Saccharomyces cerevisiae S288C: one gene and its partners. Changing the gene in region 1 together with any one later gene gives a genetic interaction. Each region holds a gene or a part of one and is shown in the gene's direction. Other genes may lie near its edges.

What was found.
Region 2: mutations in HOM6 (region 1) and INP53 together harm fitness more than expected from each alone (negative genetic interaction), as found in Saccharomyces cerevisiae (3 studies listed by BioGRID).
Region 3: mutations in HOM6 (region 1) and LAT1 together harm fitness more than expected from each alone (negative genetic interaction), as found in Saccharomyces cerevisiae (3 studies listed by BioGRID).

Annotation. Positions count from the first base shown.
Region 1 is NC_001142.9:681,057-692,524, reverse strand, and holds HOM6 (homoserine dehydrogenase), read left to right. Parts: upstream 1-2,000; coding exon 2,001-3,080; downstream 3,081-11,468. Other genes in the region: HIR3 (Hir3p), read left to right, coding at 1-1,775; GTPase-activating protein IML1, read right to left, coding at 3,204-7,958; MET5 (sulfite reductase (NADPH) subunit beta), read left to right, coding at 9,240-11,468. UniProt on the Saccharomyces cerevisiae protein: Catalyzes the conversion of L-aspartate-beta-semialdehyde (L-Asa) to L-homoserine (L-Hse), the third step in the biosynthesis of amino acids that derive from aspartate (the aspartate family of amino acids), including methioinine and threonine, the latter of which is a precursor to isoleucine; production of homoserine leads to a branch-point in the pathway as it can either be O-phosphorylated for processing to threonine, or O-acylated for processing to methionine.
Region 2 is NC_001147.6:519,036-527,675, forward strand, and holds the start of INP53 (phosphatidylinositol-3-/phosphoinositide 5-phosphatase INP53), read left to right. Parts: upstream 1-6,242; coding exon 6,243-8,640. Other genes in the region: SNAP receptor VAM3, read left to right, coding at 86-937; GTPase-activating protein RGS2, read left to right, coding at 2,318-3,247; 2-isopropylmalate synthase LEU9, read left to right, coding at 3,992-5,806. UniProt on the Saccharomyces cerevisiae protein: Dephosphorylates a number of phosphatidylinositols (PIs) like phosphatidylinositol 4,5-bisphosphate (PtdIns(4,5)P2), but also phosphatidylinositol 3-phosphate (PtdIns(3)P), phosphatidylinositol 4-phosphate (PtdIns(4)P), and phosphatidylinositol 3,5-bisphosphate (PtdIns(3,5)P2).
Region 3 is NC_001146.8:489,755-493,354, forward strand, and holds LAT1 (dihydrolipoyllysine-residue acetyltransferase), read left to right. Parts: upstream 1-1,768; coding exon 1,769-3,217; downstream 3,218-3,600. Other genes in the region: lysine--tRNA ligase MSK1, read left to right, coding at 1-362; ribonuclease H2 catalytic subunit RNH201, read left to right, coding at 563-1,486. UniProt on the Saccharomyces cerevisiae protein: The pyruvate dehydrogenase complex catalyzes the overall conversion of pyruvate to acetyl-CoA and CO(2).

The DNA of each region.
Region 1 (11,468 bases):
ATACATTTTCTGGTGCAACAAGTTTGTATTTAACTTCTCCAAACGACGAGTTACAGCAAGGCATGACAGCCGGCTTGTTCTACGTATCCAGCTTACAGTCCCTGGGTTTGTATAAAATGAGAAAGAAGTCTATGCAAGCAAGACCTTCTGAATTAGACTCCATTATCAGAATGTTAAAGAATGACATTATATACAACACAAACCGTTTCGAAAGTTGGATATTACTCGGAAAGTGTTACAGTTATATTGTTGAAGATGATTTAATATGGACCTCAGATAAGATCACTGTCCCTGAGAAAAAAGATGTTATTGCTTTGACTCAAAGAAAGGCAATATTGTGTTATTTAATGGCCATTTCCATTTATTATAGTAAGTTGGATCGAACTATTGACGATAAAAAGATTATATTGGAGGCATTGGATGACTTAGGATCTATGCTGATTAGCGGCTACTATAATCCCATGAATAAGCTTTGTTTTAGCTGGAAAAGCAGTGCTGAGAATACAATGAGATTGTCTGAAACCGGTGAAGTAGTAATGGAAAAAACTAAGAAAATCACCACAATCTCAGACTTTAACATCGAGCAAAGTATATTTTTATGTTTTAATAGGGCTTGTTCTTTATCCGGCGATATCAAGTCACAGGACGATGTATTCGTGTTGAATTGGTCTAGTTTTTACAATCTGGCCAAGTTCTTTTTCAAAACAGATGGTGGTAATAATTGTAAATTAGTTGCCAAATATATTACTCAGGGTTGCCAAATAGCTTATGAGTCATCACCTGCTAAAGATCCGATCATAGAACCCCATTATCTGTTAGTTAATGCTTGTTACAAGTGGGTAAAAAGAGGCGTCATAGGTGTTAACGAAGCTCTGACCTTACTGTCTAAAGATAACCAATTCTTCCAGGAACAAGAGGAATTTTGGGTCAACGACGAAGGTCTTGCATGGGATTATCAAGAAAAATTCTTTTTTGACAAAATCATAAGACTACTTCGCCATTTACTATCTGTTGATAAAAAAAAATGGCAGCACAGACCTCGTTACAGAATAGCGCGCATATTGTTTGACGATTTGGGTGATGTGAACGGTGCTTTGGAGGAGATGGATAGCTTAATATCCGCAAAAAGTATAAACAAAAACTTGGTCAATATATGGAAACCAGATTTTGAAAGGCCAGGGAAACATTTCATCTATACTTACCAGTACCTGGTTTTGTATTTGGATTTACTCTTCGCAATAAAAGACTTCAATACAACAGGTCTTGTTATAAAAAAGCTAAGGCGATTTGGTTCTGGAACTGTGAACGTAAACGAACTATTAGAGCGTGCCATTAATGTGTACACGCAAAGTGCCAAAATCAAGCTGCAATTGCAAGACAAGAGCTACGTGGAGCAAATCCTTCCAACCTTGAACTACCAAGAATTCCTGAAGATTAGTGAGCAACTGAACCAAGTTTTCGACCAAGGAAAGTACCCTGAAGAAATATCATCCGGGTTAAAACTTGCTTTCCAGTTGAAAAAGGGACATAGCGGAATTGCATTTGACAGCGTTTGCTTGGGCATTTATTTCGAGTATCTCTATTTTCCTCTAGCTCGACAGGATCAATCCCTCACAGACGTGAACGATGAAAACAATCCAGCACTACCGTCATCAGGTTCTGTGACATCAAAAAGCACTCCAGACCCTACTTCTAAGCCAAGTGCAATTAAGAAACGTGTTACAAAGAAGGAAGTCTTCGATAGAGTGAGGCTATTAGTGGATAAGATCACGTGAGTTTTTCAATAACGCACATGGTGGTGTACGGGTGTGTTGATGACCATATTTTGGAAGAAGTGTGCCCTGGTGGTAAAGTTGGGTTGAATGGAACAGAAATGTATAAAGAATATGTAAATATTGCGGTTAGCGATAGACAATTTGTTGAAGCTAAATCTTCTGTGTGTGTACTCAGGACTGTTTTAAGAACGTAGATAGTATCATCAATCGAATAATAAAAAAAAAATGAGCACTAAAGTTGTTAATGTTGCCGTTATCGGTGCCGGTGTTGTTGGTTCAGCTTTCTTGGATCAATTGTTAGCCATGAAGTCTACCATTACTTACAATCTAGTTCTTTTGGCTGAAGCTGAGCGTTCTTTAATCTCCAAGGACTTTTCTCCATTAAATGTTGGTTCTGATTGGAAGGCTGCTTTAGCAGCCTCCACTACTAAAACGTTGCCTTTGGATGATTTAATTGCTCATTTGAAGACTTCACCTAAGCCAGTCATTTTGGTTGATAACACTTCCAGCGCTTACATTGCTGGTTTTTACACTAAGTTTGTCGAAAATGGTATTTCCATTGCTACTCCAAACAAGAAGGCCTTTTCCTCTGATTTGGCTACCTGGAAGGCTCTTTTCTCAAATAAGCCAACTAACGGTTTTGTCTATCATGAAGCTACCGTCGGTGCTGGTTTGCCTATCATCAGTTTCTTAAGAGAAATTATTCAAACCGGTGACGAAGTTGAAAAAATTGAAGGTATCTTCTCTGGTACTCTATCTTATATTTTCAACGAGTTCTCCACTAGTCAAGCTAACGACGTCAAATTCTCTGATGTTGTCAAAGTTGCTAAAAAATTGGGTTATACTGAACCAGATCCAAGAGATGATTTGAATGGGTTGGATGTTGCTAGAAAGGTTACCATTGTTGGTAGGATATCTGGTGTGGAAGTTGAATCTCCAACTTCCTTCCCTGTCCAGTCTTTGATTCCAAAACCATTGGAATCTGTCAAGTCTGCTGATGAATTCTTGGAAAAATTATCTGATTACGATAAAGATTTGACTCAATTGAAGAAGGAAGCTGCCACTGAAAATAAGGTATTGAGATTCATTGGTAAAGTCGATGTTGCCACCAAATCTGTGTCTGTAGGAATTGAAAAGTACGATTACTCACACCCATTCGCATCATTGAAGGGATCAGATAACGTTATTTCCATCAAGACTAAGCGTTACACCAATCCTGTTGTCATTCAAGGTGCCGGTGCCGGTGCTGCCGTTACTGCCGCTGGTGTTTTGGGTGATGTTATCAAGATTGCTCAAAGACTTTAGATCAGTAAACAGACATATAAAAACATAGGTATATTTATATATAAATAGATAACATTATGCTTTACTATCCACGTTCGAATATTATTTACTTTGTGAAGAAACTCATCCATGTCATGGGGCTACTCAATCTTCTACAATCTTTCCTGTAATCCACATTTCCTTTGCGTCAAGGAAAATTGACCTTAACTTCTGATAGTCCAAGCAAGTTGATTTGAAATTTAGGATCACTTTTTGAGCATCTAATGAAGAGCTTGAAGCAGAATGAATTTTCCCGATTATGTTTCCCGGATTCACTCTGGATATATAAATGTTGTTAGGAGCTAAAAATAGGCAGCCATTTTCCCTCAATTCCGCGACGTAAGCACCCGTATGATGAATATATTGAACATATTTGAACTGTGGTTTGCCCCATGAATACATGATGTCAAACTCTATATCTTGATTTTGTAAAAATTTGGATGCCCTATTGTCTAATAAAAACCCAGATGCCTTTAAAAGATAAACGTGGTAGTAGAATTTGCTTTTAGCGAAAAGCTCCCTATCCTTGAACTCAGGATCTTCCCAAGGATTGATAGCTAACTTAATTTCCACAAAAGAGTGAAATGGATTGACCGAAGGGATAGTACAAAGTTCTTCCCAAGGAATTTCAATCATTTTCAAACCGTACCTTTCGCATAACCTTGACCAGTTCCCAACCAAATCATCGATCAATTTTGGGGTGGTAGTCAACCATTCCAATCTTATGTGAAAACAGTGGTCGGGGTTATGAACTCTGTCATAATGGACTGTACACGATTCTTGTTTCGAGGATTTTCCCGCGGGATCAACATCGATAACAAGAGAGTTACTCAGCATTAAAATAGGGCGTGATGGCTCTTTGGCGTCAGCAACTGAAGCATTCGAAGCGCTTATAGCAGGTACTACTGAAGAAAAAGGAGTCATAGCGCTTGGATCGTTTGAGCTACCAGTGGATGCTTTTCTCAACATCTGCTTTGGATCGGATAATGTAGAGCGATGGGAGTTTGTTTTTTCTAGTTTATTAGTGTCCATTACGTATTCAGGTGAGAACTGGTAAAAGTAGTGCCCGTCCAAAAAATTGTGCTTATTTAAAACGTGAACAAATAATCCCTCTTTCATCACCTTCTGCCCATATTTAATTGCATCTTCTCGAGTATCTATATCAGAGAAGTTTCTTATGAGCCAATTAACCATCTCCGAGCCAACAAAACACTTTTCATGCTTTTTCCAGTGCCATTTTCTGTTGACTAAAGTAATGCGATCTTCGCCACGTTGAATTTGATACGCCAACTTGGATAGTTCTACATTTCTGTTTAAAAGGTTATTATCATTAACAAAAATTGAATCTTTAAAATTTATAGCCGAGCTTTCTAAAGATGTTTGTTGCTCATTAATGAAGTTGTAAAGCGGGCCGGTGTAAAACATAACTTCAGGCTGTATTTCTTCTCTCTTAGTTTTTCTTCCTTTTTTTTCTTTCTCTGTTCTTAGTCTTGACCTCGTTATTGAGCCAATTAATCTTCTCAAACCCTCGACTCTGATTTCTTCTGGGTTTAAAGTTTCGCTTTTACCATTGATAACCATAGAATATGTGTTGGGAGGGATATCTGTTGGTAACACCACATATTTAGCTCGAAATCCGTGCCATTTCCTATCTATTAAGTTATCGCCATAACCTGCTAGAACCTGATCAATTTGATTCCAGTTCAAAGATTCTCTTTTAACATGAAGTGGGTCAATCATAGCATCACGAAATGAGCTCTCGTATCTCGTTTTAACCAACGGAATATAACTAGGAACCTGATCAAACAAGTTTGCTTCATCTTTTCTCAAATACCTCTCCACATCAATAATTCCACTTGACGAGCATGTTATTCTGTGTATTTCAGAGTCGATCATTAGATAAAGTTTGAACGCATCATTTTGATTGAAATCTAAATACTTGTTGACTACAGTTTCACTTTCACCACTTTCCCTAGAAAGTTCTATTTTTTCTACTTGTCGGCCCACGCAGATTTGAAAACCAGTTAACAGTCGCATATAAATCATATCACGAAGTAAGTCTTTGTATGTCTGATTATATTGTTCTTGATCTGTGTTTAAAGTCACTGAGTGATTTCTGAAGATGAAGTTCCTATCAAAATCATCCTTGGATGGAAAATCAGAAATTGTGATTGGTAACTCTGCTGGGGTTGTAAAAGACCTCCATTTACTATATTTTCTGGCCACATATTTTGGCCATACATCTTTCCAACGTATAGGCAATAATTCGTTGGCAAATTCACTACTTACCGGAATGGAAGGACTTTTAATATCCACCCAAGTTTCACTTATACGATGTTTCAATTGCTGTGTGAGGCTATAAGTGTTCGAGTCATCATGTTTTGATTTTTGCCCTTCTGTAATGAAAGCAGCCTTGTCTGACATATTAGAAAGTTTAGAGGATGTTCTGGTATGTGATGAGCCTAAATATGAGGAGGGTGAACCACTCATGATTTCATTACTAGGTAGCCCAAAAATGGATAGGTTTTTCTTTATTATCAAATTTCCACGTTTACTGATAACGTTTTCATCTGCCAGGCCTTTTTGTTGTAATTTCAGGCCACTTATTTTACTTTCAGAAGATGGTAGTGGTGTATTTGAACCTAAAGGTGAGTTATCCACATCATCTCTGAGTAATGTTGACTTTATTTTTTTATTTTTACTTGTGTCTATGTTCGAAATAAATTTTGTAATTACTCTTTGAGTAAAATCTTTCAATGAGTTCCTTTTGCTTAGTCCTTTGAGCGAATCCAGCGCCAAAGATGTGTTTTGGTTATCAGCAGATCTCACAGAGACCAATGAGTCATTCATTTCGAGATTGTCATTGTTAGAAGTGGTGGGAGTGCTAATTTTATCATTTGTAGTATTACAATCATCATAAAAAGAGGCCTCTATTGTTTTTATTGATAGATCTGGTATTACGTTTGGTTTTTGAATATCCTTAATGGCTGGGAGAGCAACTTTTGGACCTCTCCATATGAATTTTGTGTTACCGTGTGTTGTTGTTGCTGTTGCCGGGATTTTCCTTGCCTTCACAACAACATCATTCTCGAAGACGGTATCAAACTTTGAATTTAATTTCTTAGATTGTTTCGTATTAGAGCCAGCGCATAAAATTTTCACCTCGAAGGCATTTTTGTCGTAATCATTCATAAACTCGGATAGTGATTTGACTTTCTTGTTCAGCTGTAAATATTCAACATCCACTTCCCGAATTAACTCATTTTCAGTAATCCCCATCATTTGTAAGTCATAAATTTTACATCTTGGAGTCCATTCTGAGTTACTCTTTTTGTCATGATCATTCCAAAAGAAAACACTTAACCAAAGCGGTACACAATGATGAAGCTTGTTCTCAAAGTCTCGGTACCTAAAAAGTGGAACTATGTGCAATGGAGCTTTTGAAAGACATATTAAATCCATCGTCATTTCAAGAGAGAGTAGTTTTTTTCCTGTTAGCCTTAATAAACTATAATCAACGTCAAATAATCCAGACCCTGGTGAAATAATCATGACGTGCGTTGTAGTGTGTCGAAGATCTAATTGCTTGAAAGGATCCGTTAAAATTGTCGTGGCAAAATTGACCAATTCGAGAAAATTCGACTTGATTACAGGTGAAAATCTTCCATTCGCTACACTGTAACCCTTATCCGTTTGCTTGTTTAATAAATCTTTTCTGATTTCCATAAATTCTTCTCTTAATGTTTCCATAATATCAACCCAATGGATAATACTGACTTGATCTACAACTATCCTAAAATAATCCTGTGAATTTTTCAAAGATTCGCCGGGTGTTAAGTCCTTGAATGATGTATCAGACAAGTCCATTGATATAGCGAAGGCTATAGTGATAGTATGGTGGGTGTCCACATCTTTCCATTTTTTGAAGATCTTCGGGAAAAATGAATTAACCATCTTTTGAAATAATTGTTCACCAGTTTCTTCGAAGTTCCACATTTCATCAGTTATTTGAATCAAAAAAATTAATCTGGCAGATTCGGACCGAAAAATTATCCTTGTTTGTTCGCCAATATATCCAGAAACAATCTTCTTACCATTTCGATAAATTCCCTTAATAGTACCTCTGATAGAGTCTAAGAATGCCAGTCTTTGATCCATAAACACACATGTATCTACCAGCTTAGATGATAGAACCCACATATCACCTCTATTTAGTAGGCAATCTTTGATATTAAACTCTACCACATCTGCCTGTAAGTCAAATTTGTTTGGTTTCAATTTTATCCATATCCTAGACCTAGAAGGCAAATCTAACAAAGTTTGCAGTTGACCCGAAAGTATTGAAACATTAGATGTTTTTGCCCTTCTTTTAGTCTCTCCGTCAAAATCTTTTGCAATAAAATAAATTTTCTTATCTCCGTTCGATGCAGATGGATTTTTGTGATATGTTTTCAATTCTACCAAATCACCAGGTTTTATATCCGGGAACTCAACTAGATTTAGCATCACTAAATTCTCGGAAAATCGGGACTCATGATAGCCTAATTCAGCTTGATACGCCTTTATTTTCAGTCCTGGAATATGATGGCGATGGACCCGTTCCCCATTGTCATAATTGTTGTCACCACCATTGTTGACGTTATCGTCATTTTCCTTATTTGAAATCAGCTTTCTGCCGGAAGCCCTTTGTTGAGAACCAAACTGCTCTTTCTTTTGTCTTAAATTTCTATTGGAACCTACTATCAAATTACCCGATGATAAGGATATGCTATTTGCGTGAGTAGTATTGCTAGTCCTTGGAGTTTGTGAATTGATGGAAGAAATTGGTCTTTGTTTCTTCCCATGCAATTTAGCGAACATCCTTAAAAAGTGTCCCTTGTCAGTGCTGAGTTATTTCCCTGCTTAAAAAGTAGTTACAGAAACAATTCGTTGTTCTGTCACTTACTATCTTTTAAACAATAATGATTAACATAGATAGTGATTCAAATAGTCACGTGATCTCTTTTAGAGAAAGGACTTAATCCGTACACAATGATTTAATTTTTCATTACCTTATAATGTGATAGTCATAATAGCAATGAAGGATTAGTAATTACCAATATAAGAGCTCTAGCACATTAGCTATGAATTTGTCAGCCGCACCAAACTAACATAAAGGTCTTACTATGTTAAAAGTTCTTGTCCTTGAATAGAAATAAATGAATGAATCTAGTACCCTTCCCCATTCACCTAAGTTGGCTAGCCATATTTTCGGAAAAAGAGTGGGAGGAACAAGATGCTAGATAAACAAATATTCATGTTATTAAGCTTAGAATTTTGGCTCTGTTTTGTTTATTTCCAGATTTCTATTTTCTGCTATTCATCCAAAATATATTTTCTCACAAAAGCTGTTAATTTGAAACTAATGTTAAACAAAACATCTCACTTCAAATTGAAGCCAAATTAGAACCTAAGTAACCAACACACGCACAACTTTCATCCCTTATCCCACTTCTTTGAAAACTTTTAGAAGCCATTGATGGTATTGTACATTTACCTATCTTAGCAGATTCCTTATTAGCCGCCGAAATGGGTAATAAGTATTATAATCACTAAATACGAAAAATTTATTCATACCAACCCGCAACATGAACTACAAACCTTTGGGTATATAATGACAAAGACGTATCAAACCAACACATAAGGCTATTTTCAGGCAACTAATATGCTGTTTTATCTGCGGAATTTCACCAACTGACTTTTACTAAGCACTCAATAAAGATGCAGGTAAAATACGTGGATTTATGAATCCGGGTAATATAATTTGTCCACGTGATATTTCACAGAATGAATTTCATCACGTGCGTATTATCTCTTAACTCATAATGCCACAATTACCACCACACAGAGGCAGGAATGGTTTAACTGCTAAGAGACACTGGAAAATTTGAGTCATGGAGATGCGACGAATTACTGGCCGCTGCAAGCAGTTATATAAAGTGTTGGAAGACGATAGTTTTTAATGTGAAATAAAATTGGGATATAGAAAGGTTCCTTTGCTTGTTATTTTTTTTCCATCGTCTTGATATTTATTCAGATCCCTTATATACTAATAAAGTAACAGTAGGGAACGGGAACCAGAGAAAAACAAAAGATTGGCGAATGACTGCTTCTGACCTCTTGACGCTCCCACAATTGTTGGCGCAATATTCCTCTAGTGCTCCCCAAAATAAAGTGTTCTACACTACTAGCACAAAAAATAGTCATTCATCCTTCAAAGGGCTAGAATCTGTTGCCACAGATGCTACTCATCTATTGAACAATCAAGATCCATTGAATACCATCAAAGATCAACTCTCTAAGGACATTTTAACTACCGTTTTTACAGATGAAACTACTTTGGTCAAATCCATCCACCATCTATATTCTCTTCCTAATAAACTTCCATTGGTGATTACAGTGGATTTGAATTTGCAAGATTATTCCGCAATTCCTGCGTTAAAGGATCTTTCTTTCCCCATCTTAATATCTTCTGATTTGCAAACTGCAATTTCAAACGCGGACTCTTCTTATAAGATTGCTACAAGTTCTCTGACCCCAGTTTTCCATTTTCTTAACTTGGAGAAAATTGGCACGAGTACAGCTATTGAACAAGACATCGACTTTCCTACCTTGGAGATTGCTAACGAAGAGACTAAAGTAGCATTATCAGAAGCTACTGATTCATTGACAAATTTTGAACTGGTTAAAGGTAAAGAGTCAATTACCACTGTCATTGTTAACCTGTCACCATATGACGCGGAATTCAGTAGCGTATTGCCTTCAAACGTAGGATTGATCAAGATTAGAGTATACAGACCATGGAATTTTTCCAAGTTCTTGGAAATACTGCCATCTTCTGTTACCAAAATCGCCGTTTTACAGGGTGTCTCTAAGAAATCGCAATCAAACGAATTTCAACCATTTCTTTTGGACTTCTTTGGCAATTTTAATGAATTAGTTTCTAGGAACATCGAGCAGGTAGTGTTGACTAATATTGGTAATGTGAATGATTATGGCAACGTTATCAACACCGTCATATCGAATATTAACAAGAAGGAACCAGATAATAACTTATTTTTAGGTGAATCCAATGAAAAGGCTGAGGAACAAGCTGAAGTTACTCAACTTATTTCTTCTGTCAAAAAAGTTGTGAACTTAGAAGACGCCTATATCAAAGTGCTAAAACAGTTATTTTCATCAAATCTACAAATTTTGAATCAATTTTCCAGTGAGACAATTGAACCAAGTAATCCAGAATTTGGTTTTGGACGCTTTTTAAAACAAGAAGCCCAGCGTGAAGAATTGATCAGCTTAGCAAAAACCTCTCTTGATCCAAGTCTTTACTTGTCCGAGGATGCAAATAAAATTGTTCAACTATTATCTAAATGGTTGTCATTCAATGGACGCGATCTTGACGAAGCTCAATTACAAGAGGCCAATGCGACAGGTTTGGAAATATTTCAGTTATTACAATCTAATCAAGATTCCTCTACTGTCTTAAAATTCTTAAAGATAGCTCCAACAAGCGATTCTTTTATTTTCAAATCAAGCTGGCTAATTGGCTCCGATGCCTGGTCTTATGATTTGGGTCACTCAGGTATTCAACAGGTTTTATCCTCCCGTAAAAACATTAATGTTTTATTGATTGATTCAGAGCCATATGACCATAGAAAGCAAAACCAGGATAGAAAGAAAGATGTTGGTTTGTACGCCATGAATTATTACAGTGCCTATGTTGCCTCTGTAGCAGTATATGCTTCTTACACCCAACTATTGACTGCAATAATAGAGGCATCTAAATACAATGGTCCTTCTATTGTCTTGGCTTATTTGCCGTATAATTCCGAAAATGATACTCCATTAGAAGTCTTAAAGGAAACCAAAAACGCCGTTGAATCTGGTTACTGGCCATTGTATAGGTTTAATCCTGTTTATGACGATCCATCAACAGATAAGGAGGCATTTAGCTTGGATTCTTCGGTTATCAGAAAACAATTACAGGACTTCTTAGACCGTGAGAATAAGCTTACCCTATTAACCAGAAAAGATCCATCTTTGTCAAGAAATCTAAAGCAATCTGCTGGTGATGCGTTGACAAGGAAACAAGAAAAAAGAAGCAAGGCTGCCTTCGATCAGTTATTGGAGGGTTTGTCCGGCCCACCGCTACACGTCTATTATGCTTCTGACGGTGGTAATGCTGCAAACTTGGCAAAGAGACTAGCAGCAAGGGCATCTGCAAGAGGTTTAAAGGCTACTGTTCTGTCCATGGATGACATTATTTTGGAAGAATTACCTGGTGAAGAGAATGTAGTTTTCATTACTTCCACGGCTGGGCAAGGTGAATTCCCC
Region 2 (8,640 bases), on another chromosome or scaffold:
AAGGAAGGAAAATAGAACAATAAAAAACCACGGGATCAGCATTAACAAATTGGCCAACTAATATCCACTGCAGAAAGTTGAGATTATGTCCTTTTTCGACATCGAAGCACAATCTTCAAAGGGTAACTCCCAGCAAGAACCACAATTCTCAACAAATCAAAAAACGAAGGAATTAAGCAATTTAATTGAGACATTCGCTGAACAATCCCGCGTGCTGGAAAAGGAATGCACCAAAATTGGTTCCAAACGGGACTCCAAAGAACTAAGATACAAAATTGAAACAGAGTTAATACCGAACTGCACCAGTGTAAGGGATAAAATTGAGAGCAACATCCTCATTCACCAAAATGGAAAGTTGTCTGCTGATTTCAAGAACCTGAAAACGAAGTATCAATCCCTACAACAATCATACAATCAAAGGAAGAGTCTGTTCCCTCTAAAAACGCCTATTTCACCAGGAACATCTAAGGAAAGAAAAGACATCCATCCGCGAACTGAAGCCGTGCGACAAGATCCAGAGTCTAGTTATATTTCTATAAAAGTAAACGAGCAGAGTCCTTTACTGCATAACGAAGGACAACACCAATTACAGCTGCAAGAAGAACAAGAACAACAACAGCAAGGATTGTCCCAAGAAGAACTAGATTTTCAAACAATCATTCACCAGGAAAGATCCCAACAGATAGGACGCATTCATACGGCGGTACAAGAAGTCAATGCTATTTTCCATCAGCTCGGTTCATTAGTGAAAGAACAGGGAGAACAAGTAACCACCATAGACGAGAATATCTCGCATTTACATGATAACATGCAGAATGCAAACAAACAATTAACCAGAGCAGACCAGCATCAGAGGGACCGTAACAAATGCGGTAAGGTCACCCTAATCATTATAATAGTTGTGTGCATGGTGGTATTGCTTGCTGTATTAAGTTAGTAATCTCCTTAAACGCGCATTGAGCACAGACTTTCTGGTAGACCCAATCTTATCTATTTACGAAAACAAGAGTGTATAAGAGTGTATAAGTTATTTTTTGCATTTATTCTTTTGTGGTAGGGGGGTTTCTTAGCCGCTCTTTTTGACTCAAAATTTCCTTTGATGTCTAGTGATAGTGCACTTCCCATGTGCGCAACCTGTGTTTTTTGTACTCCGTAGTTTAAATGCAAGGGCTCGATATGCCCTTTTTCCTTTTTCTACTTTGTACGATCTACACTGACCTTTTTTCAGTAGTCCGTAAATCCCCACGAATTTCTACTAGCGACTGCCAATAAAAAAAGGATTGTGCTACTGTATGTAAAAAGTAAGAACCCTGTTATTTTCCGTTAACTGTCATTTGCCTTACTGTTGCTTAACGGCCGCCAACCGTTATCAAGAAACAAAACATTGTATGCGTTGTCTTCTAAATGAACCTTGTGGGCCCTGATAAACATAAGAACGTGTCTGGCTCGGAAGTATTTATCTTATTTCAATTTTCGCTTTTGCAGAACATCCTTGCCTGTCACTAAGATAAGGACAGAGCGTGGATTAATAAAAATGGCAGAATTTCTCGGCAAAAAAAGAAATCATGCATAATTACCTCGATGTGTACGTTATTGCGGGCACGATCCTGTCGCTACGGCCTGATAGTAGCGGCTATTCTGCTGGCGAAAATTTTCAGCAGTTTGAAATCTTACTGTGGCGTCCCGGTCCAGCCGAGATGACATCTAACTAAGAAATGTCCGCTGCGGCACACCCACGCCGTTGCAGCTAAAGTCGCGCACCAAGCACAGACCTGCTGGAGAATGAGGAACAAGGTTGCGTTAAATGCTTCGGGAAGAACTGCCGAACCGAACCGCTAGAAAAGTGCGCAGGTACCCCGATCGAAGCGGCTCGGCGCTCATTTTAGCACAATCAGAAAAAGGAAATTGAAAGAAGAAAAAAAAAACATAATCATTAACAATTCTTTTCTTGAGATATACGTATATATGACGTCGTCATGTAGTATCTCTTTCGGGATACCCTTTGTAAACGTCCCTTTGTGGAGATGAAAAAAAAACTTGCTGAATAAAGATAGTTAAGGCGCTAGTAATCAAATTAATAACATATTATACCACATCACATCTATACCATTTCCGTTGCACATTGCTTGAACCAGTTGCCAAAATTGACTAAACGGATTTTTACAAAGTCAACGGTGATCACTAAAAGCAAACAACTCAAGCGACGAGGCAAGGAAAGAGAAGAAAAAAAAAATATTACATTGGCTATATAAATATCAAAACATCTTAGGTAAGGCACCTTTGATACATAAAACGAAGAAAATTCAGCACATGCCAGATGGCGAGTGTACCAAGTCTATGCGACATACTGATACCGCTAGAAAAGAATAGTCGCAGCGACGGCGATGCTGAAAGTAGCAATACAGTGCTGATTCAACTGCGAAAAGGGCATCACGAACGGATGCGTTCTCCTTACACAATACAAAAGTTTTACAAATTTCTAAAAAGAGCTCATTGTGAGGAAAATTTAGAATTTTTCGAAAAAGCTCATCAGTTCCTCCAGCTTAAGCAAAACAGGAGTATTAGCGAGGAGAAGCTCTTGGAAGTTTGGAACAAGTCGTTGTACATAAAATACATTGCCGTGGACTCCCCCAAAGAATGCAACTTTTCACAGGATACTAGGGAGATATTTGAGAAGTGCTTTGCTAACAATGAAGTACCTGCCGACGTAGACGTCCTGTGTGCCATTAGCCATGTGATGGGCCTATTAATGGACGGGTATCACCGATTTGTGAGTTCTGTTAATGAGAAAAAGTACTCCGCCACATATGCCCACAATGACTCTGCTACGGAACAAGATCTCAAAAACGAGTCTACAACTTCTTTTTCGTCATTAGGCGTGGAGGATATTTCTGAAGATAGAAATTCGTATCTTAAGAAGCCTGATATCAATGGTTTGTCAACTATCATTCAAGAAACGTCTGCAAACACGACCAATGAGTCGCAATGCAGCGATCGCACTTCTCGGCCAAGCGAGTCCTCTTCCTCACTCAACACTACCAGCTCGACCTACAAGAATACCAGCACTAGAAATCTGCAAAAACCGCAAAATACAGGAATTCTCAACTCGGGGAAAGGTTTATTGCAAAAACTTAACTTTGTTAAAAAACGGAAATCTTTCAAACAGCCTTCAGGCGTCATTTGTAGCCATTATAACAGCAATGTTCAAAACCGTTTGAAAGGACAAAACAGTCATCAACAAAGATAGCCTCTTCATCATCTGTGGAGACACAAATATCTTCATCCTCATCGCCATTACCCAATAAAGCGATCGGTAAAAATGAAAAAAGCGTTGAAAACGGCTTTAAAAAGCTAAATTTGCATGATATCAGTTAATCAAGATTAGAACTTTGATTAAGTAGAACAACGATAGAAAATCCGCTTTTCTGGCTAGTTCCCTCGTTTCATATTAATTCATTTCACACAATTTACTTCATTTCATCACGCTCATATTGTTTGTAACTTTAGTTTTTATTTAATTTTACGTACATGACACTGCATATAATTATTTCACAGGCATTTAAAATAAGAGCATTGGGCACAGTCTTCTTTTATATGTTGTCATATTCAAACACTAAACATTTATCTGTATAGTAATTAATGTTAGCTCTTCCTTCTGCATGGCGCTTGTTATATACTTCATTCGTCTATTTTGGTGCCGCGCGCCATCATGGTCCGGTAACGGTCGTAGTGAATGACTCATATTTTTCCATCTCTTTCGGCCTTGCCAAAAAATGAAAAAAAAAAAAAAAAAAAAAAAAAAAATTAAAAACGATGTCCAGAATCACAACTACAACATAGTTTTGCCTCTTACTGGCTTGATTGGAAGTTAGCTGTTAAATTTCAATAATGCCTTACTTTACTCCACGAAATCACAATCCTTGTTTTCGGCTTATAAGGGTCTTCTCCTTAGGATAATACTATCGGCACATTATCATTTAGCCGCGTAGCCATGGTAAAACATTCGTTCATAGCGCTAGCTGAGCATGCTAGTAAACTAAGAAGGTCTATCCCACCCGTCAAACTGACTTATAAAAATATGCTACGGGACCCATCGGTAAAATATAGGGCGTTTGCTCCACCAAAAATGGTCAAGAGGATTTGGCCTGACAAAACTATTCAAAAGGCTCCACGTTGGCTGTCTACTGACTTGAGGGACGGTAATCAATCTTTACCGGACCCAATGTCTGTGGCTCAAAAGAAAGAATATTTCCACAAGTTGATCAACATCGGTTTCAAAGAAATCGAAGTGTCTTTCCCCTCTGCATCTCAAACAGATTTCGACTTCACCAGGTATGCTGTAGAAAACGCTCCAGATGATGTTGGTATTCAATGTCTTGTCCAATCTAGAGAACACTTGATTAAAAGAACCGTGGAAGCATTGACTGGTGCTAAAAGGGCTACCATACATACTTACTTGGCCACAAGTGACATGTTCCGAGAAATTGTCTTCAATATGTCTAGAGAGGAAGCTATTTCTAAAGCTGTAGAAGCCACCAAACTGGTTAGGAAACTAACCAAGGATGACCCTTCCCAGCAAGCTACTCGTTGGTCCTATGAGTTTTCTCCCGAATGTTTCAGTGATACGCCAGGTGAATTTGCTGTAGAAATTTGTGAAGCTGTTAAAAAGGCTTGGGAACCTACCGAGGAAAATCCGATCATTTTCAACTTACCAGCTACTGTAGAAGTTGCCTCTCCAAATGTTTACGCTGATCAAATTGAGTACTTCTCTACCCACATTACTGAGCGTGAGAAGGTCTGTATTTCTACGCATTGTCACAATGACCGTGGTTGCGGTGTCGCCGCCACAGAATTAGGTATGCTTGCAGGCGCTGATCGTGTAGAAGGTTGTCTATTTGGTAATGGTGAACGTACAGGTAATGTTGATTTGGTTACAGTTGCCATGAATATGTATACCCAAGGTGTTTCTCCTAATTTAGATTTCTCAGATTTAACTTCAATTTCTGAAATTGTCCATCGCTGTAACAAGATTCCAATTCCCCCAAGAGCCCCATATGGCGGTGAATTGGTTGTTTCTGCCTTTTCTGGTTCTCATCAGGATGCAATTAAGAAGGGATTTGCAATCCAAAACAAGAAACAGGCTCAAGGAGAAACTCGGTGGAGAATTCCATACTTACCATTGGATCCAAAGGATATTGGACGTGATTACGAAGCCGTCATCAGAGTCAACTCTCAATCCGGTAAGGGTGGTGCTGCTTGGGTTATTATGAGATCTCTAGGATTAGATGTACCAAGACCAATGCAAGTTGATTTCTCCAATACTCTACAGAAAAATGCAGATGCCTTAGGAAGAGAGTTAAAATCCGAAGAGATTACAAAATTGTTCAAAGAAACTTACAACTACAACAACAATGAACATATATACGTCACCTTGTTGAATTACGAAGTTAAGAAATTGAACCCAGAGCGTAGAGCTTTAGTGGGCCAGGTAGAAATCAACGATAAGGTTGTCAACATCGAAGGCTACGGAAATGGTCCTATCTCTTCTTTGGTGGATGCGCTATCCAATTTACTGAATGTTAAGTTGAGCGTTCAAAACTACTCTGAACATTCCTTGGGTTCTGGTTCTGCAACCCAAGCGGCATCTTTCATAAATCTTTCCTACATAAAGGACATCAATAATCATGCTACTAGTAATATGTGGGGTGTTGGTGTCTCCGAAGACACTGGGGATGCATCTATTAAGGCGGTATTTGCTACTGTCAATAATATTATTCATTCCGGGGATGTTCTACTGGCAGAGTAATAGAAAGGAGTAGCTTATGATTACTCATGTTATATATATATGTATTTTTATTTATAAATGGCACAGAAAAGTAACTTATTTCACGTTAAAAAGACATCTTTCAGCGAAGTTTCCAAACACTTCTTCGATGTCTGTGTGGAAAGTTTCTTTCGTTTATAGTTTTATTATTTTTTTTTGCTTTTTTTCCCATGGTACCATTTCCTTTCGTGAAACATTTTACCCAGGCCCACCCACCGCATAATCTTAACTGAATCCGAATAGGGATTTTTCGAGCACTACTGCAACTGTTGAGTGAGCTAGGAGTAGTGTAATTTGAGACTTTGTGAAGGGAGAACAGTCAATATCCAATATCATATTAAGAAAGCTAGCAGTACCTTAAGAGGAAGAAAGAAAATAACTGGGGCGAAGAATATCTAGTTATCCACTCCTTCATAGAATGATTATCTTTGTTTCAGAAGAACCTGAAAGGAGGCTAGCCATTGTATCCAACTTGTATGCTCTTGTTCTTAAACCGGTTGGGAAAAAGCCATCTGATAAACCCCTTTGTGCCATTGAACTTCTTCAAAAAAATGATTTGAAAAAATATGGCTTCAAAAGACTTACATCACACGAAATTTTTGGTGTTATCGGACTCATTGAGGTTAATGGCCTGCTGTTTGTTGGTGCCATCACTGGGAAATCAAAAGTTGCACAGCCATGCCCAGGAGAGACTGTGAACAAAATTTTTGCTGTCGATTTTTTTTGTTTAAATGACAACAGTTGGGATTTTATTGAAATCGACTCCTCAGGTTATCCTGTGTTGCCGGAGACTGCTTCAACTGAATATCAAGACGCCTTGCCAAAACATCCATGCTATGAATTGAAGAAACTATTATCCAATGGATCTTTTTATTATAGTTCAGATTTTGATTTGACCTCAACCTTACAGCATCGTGGATATGGTCAGCATTCTTTGAGTACAGATACCTACGAAGAAGAATATATGTGGAACTCTTTTCTCATGCAAGAAATGATCACATACAGAGATCATTTGGACACAAATTTGAAACAAATCTTGGATGACGAGGGGTTTTTAACAACAGTTATCCGTGGATTTGCGGAAACTTTCGTCTCGTACGTTAAGAAGTTGAAAGTTGCTCTTACTATCATCTCGAAACAGAGCTGGAAAAGAGCAGGAACAAGATTTAATGCACGTGGTGTGGATGATGAGGCAAACGTTGCCAATTTCGTAGAAACGGAATTCATTATGTATTCTAGCCAATACTGTTATGCTTTTACACAGATTAGAGGCAGTATACCTGTATTCTGGGAGCAAGGTACCTCTTTAATCAATCCAAGAGTACAAATTACAAGATCATTTGAAGCCACCCAACCGGTATTTGACAAACATATCATGAAATCAGTGGAAAAGTACGGACCTGTGCATGTCGTTAATTTGTTATCAACGAAATCTTCTGAAATTGAACTTTCAAAACGATACAAGGAGCATTTAACTCATTCAAAAAAATTGAACTTCAACAAAGATATATTTTTGACAGAATTCGATTTTCATAAAGAAACTTCGCAAGAAGGCTTTTCCGGTGTCAGAAAACTCATTCCATTAATATTGGACTCTCTTTTATCTTCTGGCTATTATTCTTACGATGTTAGAGAAAAAAAGAACATATCTGAACAACATGGCATATTTAGGACCAACTGTTTAGATTGTTTGGATAGAACAAATTTAGCTCAGCAAATTATTTCTTTGGCTGCTTTTAGAACTTTTCTCGAAGATTTCCGATTGATTAGTTCAAATTCGTTCATCGACGATGATGATTTCGTTTCTAAACATAACACCCTGTGGGCTGATCACGGTGATCAAATTTCCCAAATATATACTGGTACTAATGCTTTGAAGTCCTCATTTTCAAGAAAAGGTAAAATGTCACTTGCTGGGGCATTATCAGACGCCACAAAATCGGTCAGCAGAATATATATTAACAATTTCATGGATAAAGAAAAGCAACAAAATATCGATACTTTGTTGGGAAGGTTACCGTATCAGAAAGCAGTGCAACTTTATGATCCCGTAAACGAATACGTAAGTACGAAATTACAAAGCATGTCTGATAAGTTCACATCAACCTCCAACATTAACTTGTTAATAGGATCATTCAATGTTAATGGCGCAACCAAAAAAGTTGATTTATCAAAGTGGTTATTTCCAATCGGTGAAAAATTTAAACCCGATATTGTTGTTTTAGGTCTTCAAGAAGTTATAGAACTATCTGCGGGTTCGATTTTGAACGCTGATTACTCGAAAAGCTCTTTCTGGGAAAACTTAGTGGGTGATTGCTTAAACCAGTATGATGATAAATATCTGTTGTTAAGAGTAGAGCAAATGACTTCTTTACTAATTTTATTTTTTGTTAAAGCAGACAAAGCTAAATACGTCAAACAAGTGGAGGGTGCTACTAAAAAAACTGGCTTTAGGGGTATGGCTGGGAATAAAGGTGCAGTGTCTATAAGATTTGAGTACGGTGCCACTTCATTTTGTTTTGTCAATTCTCATCTCGCAGCAGGAGCTACGAATGTCGAAGAACGTCGAAGTGATTACGAGAGCATAGTTAGAGGTATTACTTTCACTAGAACTAAGATGATTCCTCATCACGATTCGATTTTCTGGTTAGGTGACATGAATTATAGAATAAATCTACCGAACGAAGACGTCAGAAGAGAGTTGCTCAACCAAGAAGAAGGATATATCGATAAACTGTTGCATTTTGATCAACTTACCCTAGGTATTAATTCTGGCAGTGTATTTGAAGGCTTCAAAGAACCAACTCTCAAGTTCC
Region 3 (3,600 bases), on another chromosome or scaffold:
ATCAACCTGCAATATTATCGCCCTTAGCCAAGACGGATCCGCAAAATAAGCAAGTCACGAAGAGATTCGAAGTCTTCATCAAAGGTAAGGAATACATCAATGCTTACGAAGAGGAAAATTGCCCCCAATTACAACTGCAGAAGTTTCTACAACAAAAGCAGATTAACGAATTGACAGGAAACAAAACTGAGACCTTATCGCCTGTTATTGACTACCAGTATGTTGAGACGATGAAATACGGTATGCCTCCAGTAGGTGGCTTTGGCCTTGGCATAGATAGATTGTGCATGCTATTTTGCGACAAGAAGAGGATAGAAGAGGTTCTGCCCTTTGGCTGTGTGGATGATGTAAACAGGCAGTAAATTTTGCGACGCCTGCCAATGCTTTTGTAAATAAATCAGACATATACTGTAAATAATTAGAATGGCATTTAATTTTTTTTTTTTCTCTACACCAATAAACTACGCTACGCGAAAAATCCAATATAAATATTCAGTTATAGCTAATGAGAGTGTCGAAAAACCTTGAAAACAACTACTGCACACCAAATTGATACGATTAAATGGTACCCCCCACGGTAGAAGCATCCTTGGAGTCTCCTTACACTAAGTCGTACTTTTCACCTGTCCCAAGCGCGCTCTTGGAACAGAATGACTCTCCAATAATAATGGGTATCGATGAAGCTGGCAGAGGGCCCGTATTAGGGCCAATGGTCTACGCAGTAGCCTATTCTACACAGAAATATCAGGACGAAACTATAATCCCTAACTACGAGTTTGACGACTCTAAAAAACTTACAGATCCCATCAGAAGAATGCTGTTTTCCAAGATATACCAGGACAACGAAGAACTAACCCAGATCGGCTACGCAACTACGTGCATCACTCCGTTGGATATCTCTAGAGGAATGAGCAAGTTCCCACCGACGAGAAACTATAACTTGAATGAGCAGGCGCACGATGTCACAATGGCACTCATTGATGGCGTGATAAAGCAGAACGTGAAGCTCAGTCACGTGTATGTGGATACTGTTGGACCACCAGCGTCCTATCAGAAGAAACTGGAGCAACGATTTCCTGGTGTCAAGTTTACGGTCGCCAAGAAGGCAGACTCGCTCTACTGCATGGTCAGTGTGGCGAGTGTCGTTGCAAAAGTGACCAGAGATATACTAGTCGAATCCTTGAAGAGGGATCCCGATGAGATCCTGGGTTCTGGATACCCCTCCGACCCGAAGACAGTCGCATGGCTGAAGCGCAACCAGACAAGTCTTATGGGCTGGCCCGCCAACATGGTAAGATTCTCATGGCAGACATGCCAGACTCTGTTAGATGACGCCAGTAAGAATAGTATCCCTATCAAGTGGGAAGAACAATATATGGACAGCAGGAAGAACGCCGCACAAAAAACCAAGCAATTGCAGCTCCAGATGGTCGCTAAGCCTGTTAGAAGGAAGAGGCTGAGAACCCTAGATAATTGGTACCGGTGATCACCTCCAGTTTGCACATACTATATATCTTCATGTAATACTACATATGTCATAACTTCAATAACTCATACAAGTCATCTGCTACTATGCTTTGCCGTTTCTACTATCCGTGAAGCGTGACCGGCCCTTCTCACCCCCCGTGTTACGCAAAGAACAACAAGAGGTCGAGACAACCAACCGGAACGACTAGAAGAGAGGCTGTTACGTTTCCTGTTTGTTCACGCTCAACATCTTCCATTGCTGTAAACTGCATCCAGTAAAATTAATAGTTATTAGCGTACTATGTCTGCCTTTGTCAGGGTGGTTCCAAGAATATCCAGAAGTTCAGTACTCACCAGATCATTGAGACTGCAATTGAGATGCTACGCATCGTACCCAGAGCACACCATTATTGGTATGCCGGCACTGTCTCCTACGATGACGCAAGGTAATCTTGCTGCTTGGACTAAGAAGGAAGGTGACCAATTGTCTCCCGGTGAAGTTATTGCCGAAATAGAAACAGACAAGGCTCAAATGGACTTTGAGTTCCAAGAAGATGGTTACTTAGCCAAGATTCTAGTTCCTGAAGGTACAAAGGACATTCCTGTCAACAAGCCTATTGCCGTCTATGTGGAGGACAAAGCTGATGTGCCAGCTTTTAAGGACTTTAAGCTGGAGGATTCAGGTTCTGATTCAAAGACCAGTACGAAGGCTCAGCCTGCCGAACCACAGGCAGAAAAGAAACAAGAAGCGCCAGCTGAAGAGACCAAGACTTCTGCACCTGAAGCTAAGAAATCTGACGTTGCTGCTCCTCAAGGTAGGATTTTTGCCTCTCCACTTGCCAAGACTATCGCCTTGGAAAAGGGTATTTCTTTGAAGGATGTTCACGGCACTGGACCCCGCGGTAGAATTACCAAGGCTGACATTGAGTCATATCTAGAAAAGTCGTCTAAGCAGTCTTCTCAAACCAGTGGTGCTGCCGCCGCCACTCCTGCCGCCGCTACCTCAAGCACTACTGCTGGCTCTGCTCCATCGCCTTCTTCTACAGCATCATATGAGGATGTTCCAATTTCAACCATGAGAAGCATCATTGGAGAACGTTTATTGCAATCTACTCAAGGCATTCCATCATACATCGTTTCCTCCAAGATATCCATCTCCAAACTTTTGAAATTGAGACAGTCCTTGAACGCTACAGCAAACGACAAGTACAAACTGTCCATTAATGACCTATTAGTAAAAGCCATCACTGTTGCGGCTAAGAGGGTGCCAGATGCCAATGCCTACTGGTTACCTAATGAGAACGTTATCCGTAAATTCAAGAATGTCGATGTCTCAGTCGCTGTTGCCACACCAACAGGATTATTGACACCAATTGTCAAGAATTGTGAGGCCAAGGGCTTGTCGCAAATCTCTAACGAAATCAAGGAACTAGTCAAGCGTGCCAGAATAAACAAATTGGCACCAGAGGAATTCCAAGGTGGGACCATTTGCATATCCAATATGGGCATGAATAATGCTGTTAACATGTTTACTTCGATTATCAACCCACCACAGTCTACAATCTTGGCCATCGCTACTGTTGAAAGGGTCGCTGTGGAAGACGCCGCTGCTGAGAACGGATTCTCCTTTGATAACCAGGTTACCATAACAGGGACCTTTGATCATAGAACCATTGATGGCGCCAAAGGTGCAGAATTCATGAAGGAATTGAAAACTGTTATTGAAAATCCTTTGGAAATGCTATTGTGAGGTTAGAATGAAAATAAAATTCGCCAGTAAATGCGTATCTTGGAGAAAATATCAATTTGTTATTTTGTATATATAAAAAATTAAAAAAAAAAAAAAAAAAATACTCAAATACTCAAATACGTATACATTATACTGAAATACTTCGCTTGTCTTCGAATCTAAATCCTCTCTCTCTTCTGTCTCAAAATGATATAAATAAATCACGTCAAACGGTGCGTCAACATCTTTGTTTTTTCACCTCATGTGGAATTGGTTGAAATTAACAAAGGAGTGGGATATAGGATATAACGCATAAAGTTTAGCATACTACTTTCGTATATTATTGTTCGGTGAAAGAAACTAGTTCCCTCTTATCTCTCAATATTTGCCAAAATTAGCTTTTA